Caenorhabditis elegans: one gene and its partners. The protein of the gene in region 1 interacts with the protein of each later gene in a pairwise test. Each region holds a gene or a part of one and is shown in the gene's direction. Other genes may lie near its edges. The genes, in order: cfim-1, cfim-2, chp-1 and eef-1G.

What was found.
Region 2: the proteins of cfim-1 (region 1) and cfim-2 interact in a two-hybrid assay, tested with the Caenorhabditis elegans proteins (one large-scale study listed by BioGRID).
Region 3: the proteins of cfim-1 (region 1) and chp-1 interact in a two-hybrid assay, tested with the Caenorhabditis elegans proteins (one large-scale study listed by BioGRID).
Region 4: the proteins of cfim-1 (region 1) and eef-1G interact in a two-hybrid assay, tested with the Caenorhabditis elegans proteins (one large-scale study listed by BioGRID).

Annotation. Positions count from the first base shown.
Region 1 is NC_003279.8:8,613,381-8,616,923, forward strand, and holds cfim-1 (Cleavage and polyadenylation specificity factor subunit 5), read left to right. Parts: upstream 1-2,007; 5' UTR 2,008-2,012; coding exon 2,013-2,222; intron 2,223-2,269; coding exon 2,270-2,367; intron 2,368-2,416; coding exon 2,417-2,646; intron 2,647-2,743; coding exon 2,744-2,889; 3' UTR 2,890-3,024; downstream 3,025-3,543. Other genes in the region: slc-25A42 (Mitochondrial coenzyme A transporter SLC25A42), read right to left, coding at 350-506, 554-633, 685-890, 954-1,140, 1,200-1,308, 1,362-1,382; F43G9.21 (uncharacterized protein), read right to left, coding at 3,025-3,145, 3,421-3,434.
Region 2 is NC_003282.8:8,924,510-8,930,890, forward strand, and holds cfim-2 (RRM domain-containing protein), read left to right. Parts: upstream 1-1,818; 5' UTR 1,819-1,830; coding exon 1,831-1,916; intron 1,917-1,962; coding exon of another isoform or gene 1,963-1,968; coding exon 1,969-2,032; intron 2,033-2,082; coding exon 2,083-2,235; intron 2,236-2,279; coding exon 2,280-2,397; intron 2,398-2,445; coding exon 2,446-2,588; intron 2,589-2,632; exon of another isoform or gene 2,633-2,884; intron 2,885-2,946; coding exon 2,947-3,362; intron 3,363-3,408; coding exon 3,409-3,517; intron 3,518-3,573; coding exon 3,574-3,798; intron 3,799-4,313; coding exon 4,314-4,432; intron 4,433-4,477; coding exon 4,478-4,520; 3' UTR 4,521-4,591; intron 4,592-4,638; 3' UTR 4,639-4,744; intron 4,745-5,306; 3' UTR 5,307-5,539; intron 5,540-5,706; 3' UTR 5,707-5,732; coding exon of another isoform or gene 5,733-5,813; 3' UTR 5,814-5,837; downstream 5,838-6,381. Other genes in the region: D1046.2 (C2H2-type domain-containing protein), read right to left, coding at 59-343, 400-690, 733-850, 900-1,075, 1,120-1,249, 1,298-1,437, 1,479-1,550; D1046.18 (uncharacterized protein), read left to right, coding at 5,733-5,813; slc-25A26 (Mitochondrial carrier protein PET8), read left to right, coding at 5,934-6,091.
Region 3 is NC_003279.8:5,103,081-5,106,697, reverse strand, and holds chp-1 (Cysteine and histidine-rich domain-containing protein 1), read left to right. Parts: upstream 1-1,786; coding exon 1,787-1,862; intron 1,863-1,906; coding exon 1,907-2,187; intron 2,188-2,233; coding exon 2,234-2,518; intron 2,519-2,567; coding exon 2,568-2,891; 3' UTR 2,892-3,117; downstream 3,118-3,617. Other genes in the region: use-1 (Vesicle transport protein USE1), read right to left, coding at 77-152, 203-258, 310-405; pas-3 (Proteasome subunit alpha type-4), read left to right, coding at 653-1,025, 1,072-1,451; spe-5 (V-type proton ATPase subunit B 2), read left to right, coding at 3,297-3,413, 3,460-3,617. UniProt on the Caenorhabditis elegans protein: Regulates centrosome duplication. Controls the secretion of the tyrosine kinase receptor let-23/EGFR from the endoplasmic reticulum and is required for the localization of let-23/EGFR to the plasma membrane of vulval precursor cells.
Region 4 is NC_003283.11:10,963,951-10,968,438, forward strand, and holds eef-1G (putative elongation factor 1-gamma), read left to right. Parts: upstream 1-1,768; 5' UTR 1,769-1,874; coding exon 1,875-1,883; intron 1,884-2,024; coding exon 2,025-2,147; coding exon of another isoform or gene 2,148-2,169; intron 2,170-2,214; coding exon 2,215-2,535; intron 2,536-2,579; coding exon 2,580-2,712; intron 2,713-2,747; exon of another isoform or gene 2,748-2,965; intron 2,966-3,038; coding exon 3,039-3,514; intron 3,515-3,539; exon of another isoform or gene 3,540-3,666; intron 3,667-3,705; coding exon 3,706-3,840; 3' UTR 3,841-3,972; downstream 3,973-4,488. Other genes in the region: ctf-4 (WDHD1/CFT4 second beta-propeller domain-containing protein), read right to left, coding at 1-230, 275-458, 504-615, 664-897, 948-1,459, 1,506-1,589; dbd-16 (DB domain-containing protein), read right to left, coding at 4,021-4,194, 4,235-4,474. UniProt on the Caenorhabditis elegans protein: Probably plays a role in anchoring the complex to other cellular components.

The DNA of each region.
Region 1 (3,543 bases):
ATTGCGCCATGTTCACCCCATATATTTTTTTTAGAAAATCGTAGTATAGAAAATCACTTAAATTATCCAAAAAGTTGATATTTGCCCAAAAACAAAGTTAGATAACTCGATAATCAGTAATTGACAACTTTCAGATCATTTTTAAGCACTTTCTCAAATTTTTCAACTGGAATTAATTTGATTTTCGGACACATCAAGTGATTTTCTATACTTTGACATTGAATTTCAATTAAAAAAATGTTGGAACAAGCAGGTTATTTTGTTTAATTGCAACCGCCCATTTCTGATAGAACTATATTGTCATTATAGTAAGGTTTAAAAAAAACTATAATTCAAAAAATAGTCATACCCGTATGATAAATATGAATTAGAGCTCTAAGAGGACTCCATCCACTCGGAATTCGCCCTGTTTGCATCCGCCTTCTCACAATATCGAGTGGATATGACGATGATTGACCGATCAAACCAGCTAACATTCCAAATAACATTCGGTAGTAGGAATTTTCCTGAATTATCATACATAATAACGTATAGAAATAATTTCTCAACTCACAACTTCACCTCTATGATCTCGATACATAATCTTAAGAGTTTCGTATGTGAAGAAGGAAGATCCAGCGTATGGTATTACTCCTGTAATCAACAAAAATCGATAAGAAAGATGTTTTTCATAAGAATTCCTACCTAGTATAGTTGGATAAATCCCTCTGTACAATAGTTGAATACCACCTTCTTTATATGTTTTTACAAAAACATGTTTCAAAGAACTATATTGTAATTTTGAAGAGACTGAAAGACGAGCTTTTGCGGTGTCTAAAGGATAAGTGATCATTGTAGCTGTTGTGGCGGCAAGAGAACCTGTTATATATCGTTTCACGGGTGTTCGACTTCTGGAAATTAACATTTTGAAGTTAAATTTGCCACCTCGGTGTGAAAAAAACTTTAAAACTCACCCATTTTCGTCAACTTTCAGCAATTTTTTATACTGCTCGAAGGCTGCGAATTGCATCGACGCGTATGGCACAACACGAGCCATCGTCGCAGAATTTCCACGATACAATGCAAAGAATCCATTTTCCCGATATGTTAGTTTTATGAATTTAATGGCAGATCGGAATGAGTAACCACGTGTACTTGAAACTGGAACATACAAAAAATTAGGTGTATTTTCGATTGTTTCGAAGTGACATAATTCTTACCTTGAAAATAAATTTTAGTTCGATCCAAAGGTGCGATTGTAGTTTTGGCTAAAGCTCCGGCGATCGCGCCTGCGGATAGTGACAAAACGACACTGGGCCTCTGTTTTCCCTGAAAATATGATTTTATGACAGAGATGTTCCAAAATTTATTTAAAATCTTACCTCATTTGAGTCGTGCGGCATGAAAATTGCAAAAAAATCACGAGTCTTTGCTGGTTTTTCTAGTTGGAATGATACAAAGTCAACGATTTATCTGCAAGATCATCATGTGTTATTGGATATAAATTCACATAATTAACATAACAAAACGATTCAAAAACGAAATTTCAAAGAATGTCTAGAGTATCATACTGGGAGCAAAGAATTTCAAGGTGAAGAGTAATGAAAAAAGTGATGTGTGATTTTTCTCTGGCGTCTCTTTATCTTCCTTACCGATTGTTTACACTTAAAATGTGACTGGCTAGTAGTTGATAGGCGAGCGTTCTTTGACGTCTGCGTCTTAACTAGTTTCTCATTGAGATGTTCGTTTTAGACGGTCAAAAATTATAGAAATGAACAAAATATTGTTGTTTTTTAGATTTTTACGATAAAGGCGTGAAAATTTTATAAATTTGATTCAGACGGACTAGTTTTCACACGTTGCAACCGCGCCCCATGGACAAACTGTTTCTAGGCCATCTGTACATTTTTTTTGTAATTTTGTTTTCAAACAATTTTTTCCAGTTTTCAATTCATTTTTTTTAATTTGCTCTTCGTCAATATTTAATTGTGTACTCTAAATTGGTTCAAAATTTAAATATAATTTCAGTTAAAATGGAAGACATCTGGCCAACAATCGAAAGAACAACAATTTCAGCATCTGTGCCCGAGGCTCCAGCGAACTTTGATGAAAAACCTCCGTTCAATCGAACAATCAACGTGTATCCGTTGACTAATTACACATTTGGTACTAAAGATGCACAAGCAGAAAAAGACAAATCAGTTCCAGAAAGGTTCAAACGAATGAAAGACGAATATGAAGTGGTAGGTGTTCTCTAATTGTCTCCAACCGATATCAATTATTTTTTTAGATGGGAATGCGTAGATCAGTTGAAGCGGTGCTTATTGTTCATGAGCACTCACTTCCACATATCCTACTCCTGCAGATTGGTACCACCTTTTATAAATTGTGAGATTAATTCCTATTAAAATCTGAAAGTTTCATAAAAAAATTGCAGGCCGGGTGGAGAATTGGAACTTGGTGAGGATGAGATATCTGGAGTCACACGTCTTCTAAACGAGACACTCGGAAGAACCGATGGGGAGACAAACGAATGGACAATCGAGGATGAGATAGGCAACTGGTGGCGACCAAACTTTGATCCTCCCCGTTACCCGTACATCCCTGCGCACGTGACAAAACCCAAGGAGCACACCAAGCTGTTGCTTGTTCAGTTGCCCTCAAAATGTAAGAGACTGAAAAATTGATAAGATCAAAATTTAAAGTGTCTTCGAATTTTTTCCCTAATTGAAACCTAAGCAGTTTAATGTTTTGTACATTTCAGCAACATTCTGCGTTCCCAAAAACTTCAAACTCGTCGCAGCTCCACTCTTTGAACTTTATGACAACGCAGCCGCCTATGGACCACTGATTTCCTCTCTTCCAACCACTCTTTCGAGATTTAATTTCATTTTCAATGACTCCAACTAAATATTTTTATTATCTGTTACTTTTTGTGTCTTCCTATTTTGTAAATGACCTTGTTCACTCTAATTTTGCTCCTACCAAATCTTCGATTTTGTTATGTATGATCTCTCAAATCGTTAGTATGAATTTAAAAATAAATTATTTCTTCATTTTCATTCGTTGTAATTTAATTCTTCCAACAACAAATATGATGAAACAAATTATGCAGATCGTGGCTTGTATACAAAACACTGTGAAGACGCTTGTTTCGATGGAAATTCTGAAAGAATATTTCATATTACGTAGAAGTTGAGAAAATACGCCATATCTTACGGTCTTGGGTCTCGCCACGCGGACAACCAGTTATTGTAATTGAATCTTGATATTCAAATTAAATGATAATTTCTGACATTATTTTTAAAAAAGTTGCTAGCGTGGTGAGACCCATGCGCGAGACTCATGCCTCTTTAATTTAAGCAGGAAATAAAATACAATAGAAAAGTAACTAAAGAAAACGTAACTAAAGAAGTAACTAAAGAAAGAAAACTAACTTACCTATCAAACTTCATATTGTTAATTCTTGATACGGACGTTGTTGTTTCAGTGTTTCAGATTGAATATAGCGAATTTTTCGTTCAAAATGGATGAACGGCTCACAAAACTTTCAATTCACATTTA
Region 2 (6,381 bases), on another chromosome or scaffold:
TCTTGATATAATTAACTGTTTTTTACAATCAAAAAGAAACTATAACAGGTATCATTGTCTAGTAATGAGAAGAGCTCGCGTGATGATTTGAAGTTGGAATATAGACTTGTCTTGTTAAAGCTGGTGTTTCCTGTTGAGCACGTGGCCCTACTATCTCATCATCAGCGTCATCTACTACGACGCTTGTGAATGCATCTTCTTCAACGACTTCTTCTCCTACCGGCATCAGAATCATCATTTCATCGTTTGGGTGAGTAGGGTGTCCGTATTGATCAACAATTATTTGCTTTGGGCGAACATTCATGTGATGTTGATTATGCATTCGAGATTCTCGTACTTGAAGCTGAAAATTGATACTGGTATAAGTAATCTCGTACTTTTTATAAAATGAAAACTCACTGCGTCAATCTCTCGATATTTCTCGATTCTCATCTGTCTAGCAATCTCGGTTTCAGTTGGGTGTTCATGTCCAAGATGCCCGAAACAGGCGACAACTTCGTATTGCCCATGATTTCTCATACAACATTTAATAAATGCAGGACACTGCTCACATCTTCTGCCTTTCGATTGCCCTCGAGAATTTGAAAACAGGCATTTATAGAGCATTGTCCGAATAGCAAATGATACTTTTTGCGAAGTCCTAAGGAAAAACTCCGAATTCGTCGATTTTTCCATTTGCTTTTTCCACTTCTGAAAATGTTAAATAGTTGCAAATAATCAAATAATACATACCATAAATCCAGCTTTATCTTGGAAAGTCACTCTTCGAATTCGGAATGAATCAGTTGCCCTCGAAAGATCTCGATGTTCGGTGTCGACGTGAATCGCCAGATCCAAATATGTAGGAACACTAAAATATTTAGAGACTGAATATGTTTCTTTTTTATAAAAGTCAATACTTTTTATCACATCCATAACTTGGACAAACGATATTGCTCACAGACGATCCTCCAACAGCCATTTCGTCAACACGCGCACACGGGCTATTATCTTTTTTTAAATGGCTCGTTAATCCTGTCTTTGTGATAAACTCCATTCCACAATTTTCACAAGAATGCAACGATTTTCGCTTCGGCTGAAAATTAACTTGATTTTCAAATTTAGATAATTGAAATATACATTTGGTCTCCCGAGTCGTTTTTGCTGTTTCATCATTTCACATTGCTGCTTCGTGAAGCCATGATGATCAAATAAATGATTGTAAAATCGTTTATTTGTGAGATCTTCTTTACAGAAATGACACACCGAACTGCAAAATTTTCAAATCTTTGCGGATTCGGCTAATTGATTTACTTACTGGTCTTGATTAGCAGCATATATATTTTCAGGTGTAAAATAAGTTCCTTCCATAACATAACATGGCACATCTGTCTGTTCTTGAACTTGAACCATAGTACCCGGACCATCGTTGTACTCCTCCTGACAGTAAATTATTTGCTGAAAATAAATATTTAATTTGAAATGGGAGAATGAGTTACCTCTTCTGCGACTTCAAGTTCTTCATAAGCTTCATGATTTACTATATCGTTTTGCTTATATCCGTCATTCATGATGAAAACTGTAAAAGCTTAACTTCAAAAATATTTTTAAAAAAATGTTTTTCAAAATCAATTTTTTTTTTCGTAAATCGACATTTGCAAACGACACTCCGTTGAACAGACACGCTTGTTGTTTAGCGTGCACGCCCCACCCATGTTGCGTTAATAAATATTTTTTGATTTTATCGATTAATTAAATAATTGTTCACTTATTCTGTTAGAAGACAATTGAATTTTGACTTTTTAATTTTCTCTCTTAAAATTCATGTAACCGTTGTTTGTTTGAGGATTGATGGCTGAATTGGACGAAGCAGCGTTGTTAGGTGACGGTAACGAACAACATGATGGTCCCATAGACGAGAATGCGTTGCTGGATGGGTAAATACTTTAATGAAAAAAGAAAATGCTAAAAATTTATTTTTTGATCCAGAAAAGAGCTCAAGGAAGAAGATATTGACGATCTGTACGATGAAGCGATTGCACCCACAAATTCAGTGAGTTTTCTAATGAATTCTTATTAAATCCTTATAATTCTTTATTTTAGACGGAATCAGCAAAACCTGTTTCACCAACAATCACCACTGTGACTGCTCCAACTGCTGGAATTGGTGCAAAACCAGCGACGTCTTCGGAAGGAAGAAAATATTGCTGCTACGTGGGAAACCTTCTCTGGTATACTACAGATGCTGATTTATTGGTAAGTGACTGTAAAACTGAATGTCTTCAATAAATTTTGTCCAGAAAGCTCTTCAATCCACCGGCCTTGCACGATCTCAATTCGCTGACATGAAGTTTTTCGAGAACAGAACGAATGGACAAAGCAAGGGATATGCTTTATTGGTTTTGAATTCTGATGCTGGTTAGTAGAAACTAACAAGATATTTCTAAAAACTTTATTTCATTGCAGCGGTAAAACAAACTATGGAGATTCTCCCAACTAAAACTATCCATGGCCAAAGTCCAACTGTTTTGTCGTACAATAAAACGAATCAGGCAAAGCTGGAAGATGCGCAAGCAAAAAATCAGACCCGTCCAGACGTCAAGAAAAAGGTAAAAAAAGAGAATATAACACTATCGTTGAAATTAGTGCTGTGACTCTCTGCTACTCCACGGCGCACCGATATAAACGTTTTCCACTTGGTACTTGTGGTCGTCGAGGGAAGCGCAGTCGGTTGCGCAGTTGGCTGTCAGTCAGCAGTCCGCGTGATCGATTCCCGCCCGCGCCTAGAAACTCAGCGGTGTTTTGTCTTTATGATCATGAGCTGGTAGCAGGTGCAATATTGATTCGGAGTCTTACCGGCGTCCACCTTCTGAAGGGTGTGCGTTAAAAGTTCATCCGAACAATTTATCACTTTTTAATAAAGTTTTCGAAAAGTTATACTAATTATGAACATTTTTAATTTGGCAGGGTTTCGAAGAAGGATGTGTCAATATGGGAACTATTCGTATTGGAGCTGGAGGGCAAACTGGTCGAACTGGAACAAGTGTCTCTGGTAGATCTGGACCTCCACCTCTCATGATGCAGCAAGTTCGACCAACTCCTTTGATGAGCCAACCTACATCTCTGCCAAGCAATCTAAATCAAGCTCCTCAAATGCGATTACAAATCAACGGACAACAAGTTCCATTAATGAACCGTGCTCCTGTGCCACAACAAACAATGTTAGGAAATGGACCATTAGGTGGAATGAATCAACAAATTCAACAACAACCTCAAATGATGATGGGACAACAAGTTCGACCAATGATGCAAACATCAATGGGAATACAACCAATGATGGGAATGAATGCACCACCTCCAATGAATAATCAATTCCAGAATAGGTAATCGTATAATAATCCTCTATCATTCTTTTTCATTTCCAAATAGTTCTAGACCACCACAACTTGGTTCAATGGGTGTTCAGCCACTTATGCAAATGAATACAGCTATGCGTCCTCCTATCAACGGTCTTCCACCAGTCCATGTCAATCCACAGGTAATGGTTTTTTGAAAACTAAAAATAATTTTGAATGATAATTTTATTATTTTCAGATGTTCCCCGGACTTCAAGGAACAGTTTTATCTGACGCTGAGTTCGAAGATGTAATGACAAGAAATCAAACTGTATCATCGTCAGCTATAGCTCGAGCAATAACTGATGCATCTGTTGGAGATATTAAAGGAGCATCTGAGACTATATTGACAGCAATTCAATTGATTAAAAACAGTCGAATTGGACATGATGAAAGATGCAGACAATTGGTTTATGGATTGGAAGTACGTTTAAAAAAAATCCTTCTTGAGCAAAACTCTAATTTCCATTGAAGTTTAAATGATAGAAAATGGACCTTAATGACCGTTAAAAAATGTTCGATTTTTTATGATTTTTCGATAAAAAACTCGATAAAAAATTTTTCATCGTTTGTCAATTTATTAGTTATGTCTCTGTAAGAAAAACTTAATTGATAAGAAATAAATTTACTGAAACAAAACTTTTTTGCTAACATATCAGTGATTTAAAATTTAATTTATAAATCTAAAAAAAACGGTGTTTCAAATCAAATATCAAAGAAAAAATCAAGAAAAACCGATGAATCTAAACATTTATGCAAATTTGAAAAAAAAAACCATCAAAAATTCAGAAATTTAATTAAGTTTTTAAACAGTTATCTCAATATGGTCATTATGGCTTTTTTCTTTCATTTGATACAAAATTTCACAACGACCATACTCCACCTTTACAGAAATACAAAGTAAATCGCAATTTTTTTTCATAATTATATATTTTCCAGCACACACTCAAAGGCCTTGAATCAAAAGGATATTCGTCTCGTTCAAAATCACATCGTGATCGTTCAAGAAGTCGCGAAAGAGATCGCAAAAGAAGAAGACGCAGTCGCACTCGCTCACGGTTCGTTTTGGAGCAACAATTTTTTTTGAAAAAATATTTTTTTAGCTCATACTCGCGGTCACCATCTCCACGCCGTCGTCGTTATTAAATAACACGACTTTCTTCAAATTCAAGATTATTTCTATTTTACTCTTCAATTTTCACTTTTTCAACAATTTGGTAATGCCGATGCTTGCTTTTGCACAAAACAATTTTCAATTTTTCAGATCCAAAAATGTTATATAATCTCTAAATTTCATTCTCAATGTTCACTGGTCGATTTCGATTTATTCTCACTTGCATACGGGATCTGCTCACTTGTACTCTAAAATTGTAAGTTTTTGACTTTTTAATTGATTTTCAGATTTGTTCTTTCAATTACCTTTCATTGTTCTATTTAAAATCGTTTTGAATGTAACTCCTCAAGTATTGGGTCATTTCGAAATTTCAGTTGTATCGGGAGTATTTCGAAAAAAGTATGCTATGAAATTTGTAACATTTTGCTAGTATTTATTGAGAGCACATTAAAATTGTAATATTTTCATTTAAAATAAGCTTGGGTTTGGGTAAGCATTGATTCTATAATGTGAAATTGATATTTTTTTTGATTGAAATAGATTTTTAATGGTGTTAGTTGTTTTTATCATTTAAGCTTCCTATGTGTTTAATTCTATATTTTGTCCTTTAAATGTAGTTTTGTTTATTCACTTACGTCTTGAAATTTGATAGGTTTCAGCTGAAATGATAATTTGAAAATTATTTGTTAATCCTTTTTGTCAAAAAATTTAAAAGTTTTAGGCATTAATTGTAATGTCAGTGATAATGTGAAGAAATAAGCATAGCTGATATTTTCTATTGTATTTTTTTATCTCATTTCAATTGTATTTTCCAACAGGTCCAGCAGCATCCACGTGGCATCGAGTTCAAATCGGAATCGTCAAAAAAAATCCCCGCAAAATCCTCTCAACAGAAATTTTTTCTTGATCTGAAATTCACATTTTGTTTTCTAAAATTTCCAAACATTTTAAATGATTAATTGTAATTCGAGCACATTCGATGAAAATTCATTGAATTTGTTGACAATTGTGTTGTGAATCCCGTTTCAATTCTTCAATAAGAATTTAATTGGTAAGCCAATATTTTTTATTGTATTTATTCACTTATCCAAAATCCCTGGTCTCATTTTCGTGAGTGCTTCCTTTTATTTTTCCTGATCCTCGCATTTACATGGTTGAAATCATTGCTTTCAGAATGTGTTTCAAGCAAAATAAAAAAAACTTATGTTCATATTTCAGAATACTGGCTATCTTCCAACTCAACAATGATTCGTGTACACATTTTCTCATCAGTGCTCACTATTGGATTATCTTTTATAAACGTTGTCTTTAAAAGTTTTGTTTAATTTAATAAATTGCAAATAAGAAATGTGTTTTCATTGCTTCCTTTCCCATGAAGTCGAATTTGTCGACTGATGTAGTACCTCTAGAATGAATTGGATATTTTAAATATGGAGTAATTTAGGATGCCATCAGAAGAAGGATCGGTGGTACGATGGCTCGTGTGTGGGGCGACAGCTGGTTTAGCAGTTGATATTGGATTATATCCATTGGATACAATTAAATCAAGAATGCAATCTAAACAAGGATTCATTGCAGCTGGAGGTTTTAAAGATATTTATAGGTGAATACTTGGAAAAAATGGATATAATTAGTTGGTTTTCGGACATTTGAGAGCTTAACCCAAAATTAAATTCAAAAATTCAGATAAATGAGGACGCAGAAAATAAACTTTCGAAATGGAAACAAAACGCTCCGCCCCCGAACCTAGGGTCTCGTTAGGTATTTGGCGGCAAATCTGTAAATCCAAACGTTTTAAAGTAGTTTTGCCAATTTCACCAATTTTCAAGTAATTTTCTTTTTTTAATCAATTTTGGCATAAACCTCATTAAACATATCTGGAAACATAACCAA
Region 3 (3,617 bases), 3.5 Mb from region 1:
TAGAAATTATGTAAAAATTTGTATCTTTAAAGCAAAATTACAAGATCGAATTTGCTTGTCTAAAATATCTACAAACCTTGCTTTCAGCTTCAGCGAGTAATTTCAGTTGCAAGACTTCCTGTCGGTACTCGTGGAGAATATCATTTGTGGTTCTGGAAAAGTAAAACTATAAATATTAAAAAATGTATTTTGAAAAACTCACTCATCGTTTTGAAGTGTATAAATCATTTTATTGAGAATCTTTGTAGCTGCAGAAACCTGAAATAAGAAAAATAATTAATTAAACAGAACTTAAAATGTGATACTTGCTTTCCAAACGTTTGCTGACATATCCTCTTTTGTCAAGCGCTTTGTTCGCTCGAGAAGTCGTAGAAATTTCAGCTCATTTTCAGAAATATACGCCATTTCATTGATGTTTTGACAAAATTAGATAAAAAAATAAAAATAAACGTTGACAACTTGAAAACAAATAAGTTCGGCCACGGCCGAGAAATACAAAAATGCAAATGCGCTCATGCGCGAAAAAATTTTCAAGTCATCCTTTTTGTCGAGGACTGAGAGATTCTTCTTGTTTTATGTAATTTTTCTATAGGTTTCTGCCGTTTATATTTTAAAATCATATTTGTCTAGATTATCTTTATATTTTCAGAGAATGGCCCGTCGTTACGATAGTAGAACGACCATCTTCTCTCCGGAGGGAAGACTGTATCAAGTCGAATATGCTATGGAGGCTATCAGCCATGCTGGAACTTGCCTCGGCATTCTCTCATCGGAAGGAATCGTCGTTGCTGCTGAGAGAAAGAACGTTCACAAGTTGCTGGATGATTCTGTCATGACTGAAAAGGTCTACCGTCTTTCGGACAACATCTCGTGCACTGTCGCTGGTATCACCGCCGACGCGAACATCCTCATCAACCACTTGAGATGGTGGGCTGCCAGCTATCGTAACAGTTACGGAGAGGAAATGCCAGTTGAGCAGCTCGTCCAGAATCTTTGCAATGAAAAGCAGAGATACACGCAGATTGGTTTGTTGATAACTTCTCTCTTGATTTCTATTAATATGATTTTCAGGAGGAAAGAGACCGTTCGGAGTGTCACTTCTCTATATCGGATGGGATAAGCACTACGGATATCAACTTTACCAATCTGATCCTTCCGGAAACTACACTGGATGGAAGGCAACCTGCATCGGAAGCAACCACCAGGCTGCCGTAACCTTGTTGAAACAGGAGTACAAATCCCCAAATCTTGAAGAAGCAAAGCAGTTGGCTATCAAGGTTCTCTGGAAGACTTTGGATGTGAAGCTCGCTTCCGAGAAAGTTGAGATGGCTGTTTTGACTCGTCGTGATGGAAAGACTGTGCTCGAAGAGCTCACCACCAAGGAAGTCGATGCTCTGATTGCTGAGCACGAGAAGAAAGAAAAGGAAGCTGAGACTGCTGAGAAGAAGTAATCTATTGCCTTTGAAATAATCTTTCAAGACTGTATTGTAAACCATCCTCCCACCCGTTTAATTTATTGTCTGGTTTTATTTCTTATCACCCATATTCCTATCTCAAACGTCGGTGAAAATTAAATATTTGTATTTTTAAATTTTGCTTTCTTTAATTCACCTTGTTGTTGTCCGTGCAAATCTTTGATTATTTGGTCAAGCGAGAGTGCTGGAAAAAAGAAGGAGTGTGCCGCAACATTGCAATGGGCGGAGTCTCGAATTTTCTCGAGCATTTGGGGGAAAACTGGATTATTAAGCCGAAATCTTCAGAAAAAAAATCGCTTTTGCATTTTTAGATGGTTGACGAAAGTAAACTGCAGTGCTATCATAAAGGATGCGGTCTCCTTTTCGATCCCAAGGAGAATGACAACGGTAAGATTAATTGGAAAATAAAAAAAATCAGTTTAATTTTTCAGAAGCTTGTACATATCACCCTGGGGGTCCGTATTTCCATGATGCATACAAGATTTGGACATGTTGTGATAAGAAAAGTACTGATTTCGGTACATGGATGAATTATAAAGGATGTACGCGTGGAAAACACAGCAATGAAAAACCAGTCGATATTGTAAAAGTTGCCGCGGTAAAGGAAATTCGACCAGAGAAAGAAGAAGATGTTATTGTTTGGAAAGGGCTCAATAAATCTGGAAAATTGGATAGCAAGGATGCGACAAAGAGAATTGAGCAAAATTTGAATGTTTGTATTTTTAAATTAAATTTTTTATAACAAACACGTATTGCAGGTTGAAGTGACGCCTGGAGCAACCGCAGCTATTGAGAAAAAGCTGAAAGAAATATCTGAAGCTGCTCAAAGTGCGGATATTCAAATTGGCGCCCCATGTCGAAACAATGGATGTTCTACTGAATTCGATGGATCGAAAAACAAGGAAAACTGTCAGCATCACCCTGGAGCTGCCATTTTCCACGAAGGAATGAAGTATTGGTCGTGTTGTAACAAGAAAACTTCTAATTTTGGAGCTTTCCTTGAGCAAGTGGGCTGCACTTCAGGCGAACATAAGTTCAGAAATGTGAGTTGAAAAAACTTCAAAACTTCAAAAAAAAATCGGCGTTTTTCAGAATGAAATTGTCAGCAAATTCCGAGAAGATTGGTTTTCGAGCAATGGATTTGTCACCATCAACGTGTATTGTAGAGGTGCTCTACCCGAAACCGCAAACATCGTTTCCGATGGTCACACCGTTCGAGTGAGTATGAAGCACGGATTTGGAAATGCAAGCGTGGATCTCGATTACGATTTATGGGATGAAGTTATTCCCGAGGAAAGTCGTGTTGTCATTGGCGAAAGAAAGGTCGAAATTTCATTGAAACAAAAACACGGAACCGGATGGCCTCGTCTCAAATTTGATCCTGAACTGGATGCAAAAAATGATGAAGAAGCTTAAACTTTGATTTTAATTTCCATCAAACATATCTTTCTATTTGTTCCCAAACCGTTTCCCAATCCCACATTGATCTTCTATGAACCTGAATAATTTTAAATCATGGCGATAACCATTTTCTTCATAGCCAGTAGGATTTCTTCTTCTTTCTTCCGAGAGATCCCACTATAAATGACAATTTAGTTTTTTTCTAATTTTTTGCTTCATAAATATAAAATATGCGTTTGTTACCTTCATAGTTTTTGTTAAAACTTCCAAAATTTCGCAAGAGCGAGTTGAAATTATTTATTCGTCGTCTCGCCACGAGTAAAAAAATTCGTGGCGTGTCCCTTTAAGGTCATTACCGTACACGTGAATGCAACGCCAATATTTTCAAAATTTGTTCGACAAGTTTTCATTATTCAAAATATGACAGAAGCATCGGAGATTAATCTTTCCGATATCAAAGGACCAATTGATGTCAACACTCCAATCACCAATCACCGAACCGCGTTGATTCAAAATTACTCCACGAAACCTAAATTGGTAAGTTCAAAATTTCTGGAAAATGAAAATATGTTCAAGATTTCAGACATATCAAACTGTTTTCGGAGTCAATGGACCACTTGTCATCGTTCACAATGTTAAATTTCCAATGTTCAATGAAATCGTAAAGATCACACTTCCAAATGGACAAATTCGAATGGGACAGGTTCTGGAGTCTTCAAAGAACAAGGCAGTTGTGCAGGT
Region 4 (4,488 bases), on another chromosome or scaffold:
GTCGAGATCCATTGGAGAGCTGTTAGATACAAATCGTTCAGGAATAAGAACTTTTCGGGGAGCAGGTGGATCAGAATAGACTTGCGGGAGAGGATCATTCAAATTTCTGTCCGAGCTCATCGGTCGCATTTCCTCAGGTTCACCGAGTTTAAAACCGAATTCTTCAAGCCCTCCAAGATCTTGGTTCCCATAATTGAATTGTCGTTTGATAGCTCCAAGATCGGAAGACACTAAAATTAAAACATCAAGAGAAATTATATTTACAATCCCTCACTTCGGGTATCTTCATCTTCTTCAATGGCTTCTTCATTGAATAAACTATCTTTTTTGAGTGAAGTTCTATTCAAAAGGATTGAGTCGTCATCATCACTATCAACTGCAACATCTTCAGTTTTGTTTGAAACAGGCTTCTCGTTAGATGAATCATCTTTGAAGACATTAAACAAACAGATTCCTCTCTAAAATATTGTTACTTGAAAGTGCTCGAAAAGGGAAAAACTCACATTTGAATCAGCGACAATCAATTTTTTTGGGGAGAATGGAGAAAAAACAATAGAAGTGATGATAGTGATACCAGGTGCATTTCTCACGAATTTTTCACAACACACAATATCTCTGGAAAAAATGTATTATTTATCAGTTCACACATTTACCTAAATTTACAATTCATCACTATTCCAAACAGCAATTTGATTATCCATGGTTGAGGAGGCAAGATACTTCCCACACGGCGAAAGCGCAGTAACCGAAAAATCCACAGAAGCATGATCTTTCAAACGGTATACACCAGATTCTTCCCACCCATTTCGACGGTACGATTTCACACATCCTTTTGAAGGAACAAACAGCCATTGACCATCCTTTGACCATGAGAGTTGAATACGAGGTCGTGAAACACTGAAAAACAGGACATTGTTTAAAACCGAAGTATAACATGAAACACTAACTCAATTGTTTCAAATCTTGGGAAAACCTTGGTCAGTGTGTGTTTAATCGAGAATGAATCAATGTCTATAATAGTCACATTGCCATCCACAGTAGAAACGGCCACAAATTCATTTTTTGGATCCAGTTTGACACAAAGAACTTCAGCTTCAAGACTTCTCGTTTTCAGCTCTGCATCTAAATCTTTCATATTCGTGCATTTAACCGCATAATCGCTAGATCCTCCAATAACATTTTCCCTGTTTGCGTCGACCGTTGTGACATCCATTTGGAATTCAAGAGGATCAATAATATCTCCTGCTTCGAAATTGCCCTTTTTCGCCCGTCCCACCATTTGCTGCTCGGATCCAACAATGAAATCCACCTTGCGGTAACCAAAACAGATGTTTTCTCCATACCAAGCAATAGATGATGTTGTCGCATCGGGAATCTCGATTATTTCAGGTTTTTCATCTTGCAGCAACACGTTCTTATTGATCTTGAGTACATTTCGTTCAGCATCACAAACGTAAATCTGAAAAAAACAGGTAAATATGTTTATAAATCGTTTTAAATCCTACATTTTCAGTATCTTCTCCTGAAGCATCAATGCAGATAGTTTGAAGGCCGATATTCTCCAAATTTTTAACGTTAGTAAAGCTCATCTGAAAACAATGGAATTACGAGTGAAATTATTTATTTTCATCAAAAATAAATAAAATGCGAGCAAATTTTAAACCTGATTCTTGGCGCCGAAATGCGGTAAAAAAGTGTAATGCAACCATGGACCAGTGAACTGCGTAGAACCCCTATGTTTTGCGTACTGGCATTCTGCCAGGGGCACATACGCAGACTTTTCAGTGTATTTTTCCTCTGAAGAACACCACTCTTTTCAAGCGCCTCTTCTTTGAGCGTCGCTTCACTAGATTCTCCGACTCGTTGGTGACATCATGACCGGAGTAAGTTTATAAAATTAATTTCATTAAATTTGCAGTGCTGTTAAGAATAGTTAACGTGATTTCCGTTCGTTGCATTGAAAAATGATTAGGCCAAACCTTGAAATGACGAAATTTAACCAATTATTGATTTTTATTTTGCAGAAACTGTATGGAAACAAGGACAACTTCAGAACCCAAAAGGTTTTGATTGCTGCCAAGCTCGCCAACAAGACTGTCACCCTCGCCGGAGATGCTGCTCCAGCTGACAAGTTCCCACTTGGAGTTGTACGTTTTAATTTATTTAGATGTCAGTATTTGACGATCTGTGAACTATCAATGTGCAGAATTTCAGACCCCAGCATTTGAAGGAGATGCTCTTCTCTTCGGAGCTGAGTCGATCGGACTTCACCTGACTGGAACCTCAGCTAACGCCGAGACTGTCCAATGGCTTCAATTCGCAGAAGGTTATCTTCTTCCAGCTGTTCTCGGATACGTTCTTCCATCTGTGTCTGCAGCCAACTTTGACAAGAAGACTGTTGAACAATACAAGAATGAACTCAACGGACAACTCCAAGTACTCGATCGTGTTCTTGTTAAAAAGACCTACTTGGTTGGAGAACGTCTTTCTCTTGCCGACGTTTCCGTTGCTCTTGATCTTCTCCCAGCTTTCCAAGTACACTATGACCCAGATTATATGTATACACTCCTAATTTTCAGTATGTTCTTGATGCCAACGCTAGAAAGTCCATCGTCAACGTCACCCGTTGGTTCAGAACCGTTGTTAACCAGCCAGCTGTTAAGGAGGTTCTTGGAGAAGTTTCCCTTGCCTCATCGGTTGCTCAATTCAACCGTAAGTTTCTTTTTTGTTAGTGTGAATTTGTTTTGTTCCACTGCGAAGTCAGCAGACTAGTCAATCGATTAGTAGGCGTTACAGTGGTGGAATATCAAGATTTATGTACACCGTCTTTGCTTGAAACAGTTTTTGTTTTTGCTTTGTTCGGAACGTTTTTCATGGGACTGAGAGTTGGAAATTTAGCACTGGTCGTTTACAGGGTTGTCCTGCAGTCAATTCTAAGTTACCTTAGTTTATGTCCCACACATTTAAAAAGAAATCTAATTTTATAAAAAAACTTCTGATTTTGTATTCCCAGTTTAAATTTTATTCTTATTTTACAGAAGCCAAGTTCACTGAGCTCAGCGCTAAAGTCGCCAAGTCTGCTCCAAAGGCCGAGAAGCCAAAGAAAGAGGCCAAGCCAGCTGCTGCGGCTGCCCAGCCAGAGGACGATGAACCAAAGGAGGAGAAGAGCAAGGATCCATTCCAAGATATGCCAAAGGGAACATTCGTTCTTGACAATTTCAAGAGATCTTATTCCAACGAAGACACCGCTACCAAGGCTATCCCACACTTCTGGGAGAACTTCGATGCTGACAACTGGTCCATCTGGAAGTGCGAGTACAAATACCCAGAAGATCTCACTCTCGCCTTCATGAGCTGTAACCTTATCAATGGAATGTACCAAAGACTGGAGAAGTTGAAGAAGAATGCTTTCGCCTCCATGATTCTTTTCGGAACCGACAACAATTCGACCATCTCAGGAATCTGGGTGTGGAAGGGTGACAAGCTCGCCTTCGAACTCAGCCCAGACTGGCAGGTAGGACCATTTCCTCGATTTTGAATGTCGAAGAGTAGTCATTTGTATACGTGATACACTTATACAGAGTTACACTTTTCGTATATAAGTGCTTCTTCTCGTTGGAGTTGTTTATTTAATGAGCAATTACCTCTAAACTGAAAGCAACAATTTTATGAATTCTCGATAGTTTTCACAATAATATATTTCAGGTTGATTACGAATCGTACACCTGGACAAAGCTTGACGCCAAGTCCGATGCCACCAAGAAGGAAGTCAACGAGTATCTTATGTGGGAGGGAGACTTCGGAGGAAAGAAGTTCAACCAAGGAAAGATTTTCAAGTAAACTGGAGTTTCCATACAACCCGGTGTATTTGCCATTTAATCCTGTTGTTTACTCTGAGTCGGAAAGAATAAATTGTTTTCTATTGTTTATAAAGGACCCGGTATCACTTCAATAAATTATATCTTCTTCAAGTTGAGATTGAATTTATTCGTCTATAAGTGTTCCTAAATAATTTTAGATTTAAAAATTAGCTCCTAAGCTTGTTTCTTCGTTTTCGGTCGTCGTATAGTCCTCGATGTGTCCTTCGAAATATTCTTGATTTGCGTGTTCCAAAAAGCAAGATTTGATGTCGTTGAAATATTGTACACATTGCAAATGGTTGATTGAGAGGCTATTGACATCACTATCTTGACTCTGTAAAAATCATTGCGTGTCAGTAAAATGTCTCTCAAACCTGATCGCAGAAAGAGTGACAGTGTATTGGAACTAATGATTTGGAGCAGCATTCCGTGTGGTTTGTTCCTCGTGCCGCACAAAAATGAATCTTTTGAATTGCAGTCACTGGGCACACTGATTGTTGAAGAAACACTGCACTGACTTCTTCTGATGAGTACGTAGAATATGAGCATAAATCTGTGCAAGATGATTCAACTTCGAGAAGTGAGCAGCAGGTGGCAAAGTGCTCATCCGGTGTCTGTTATTTAGATA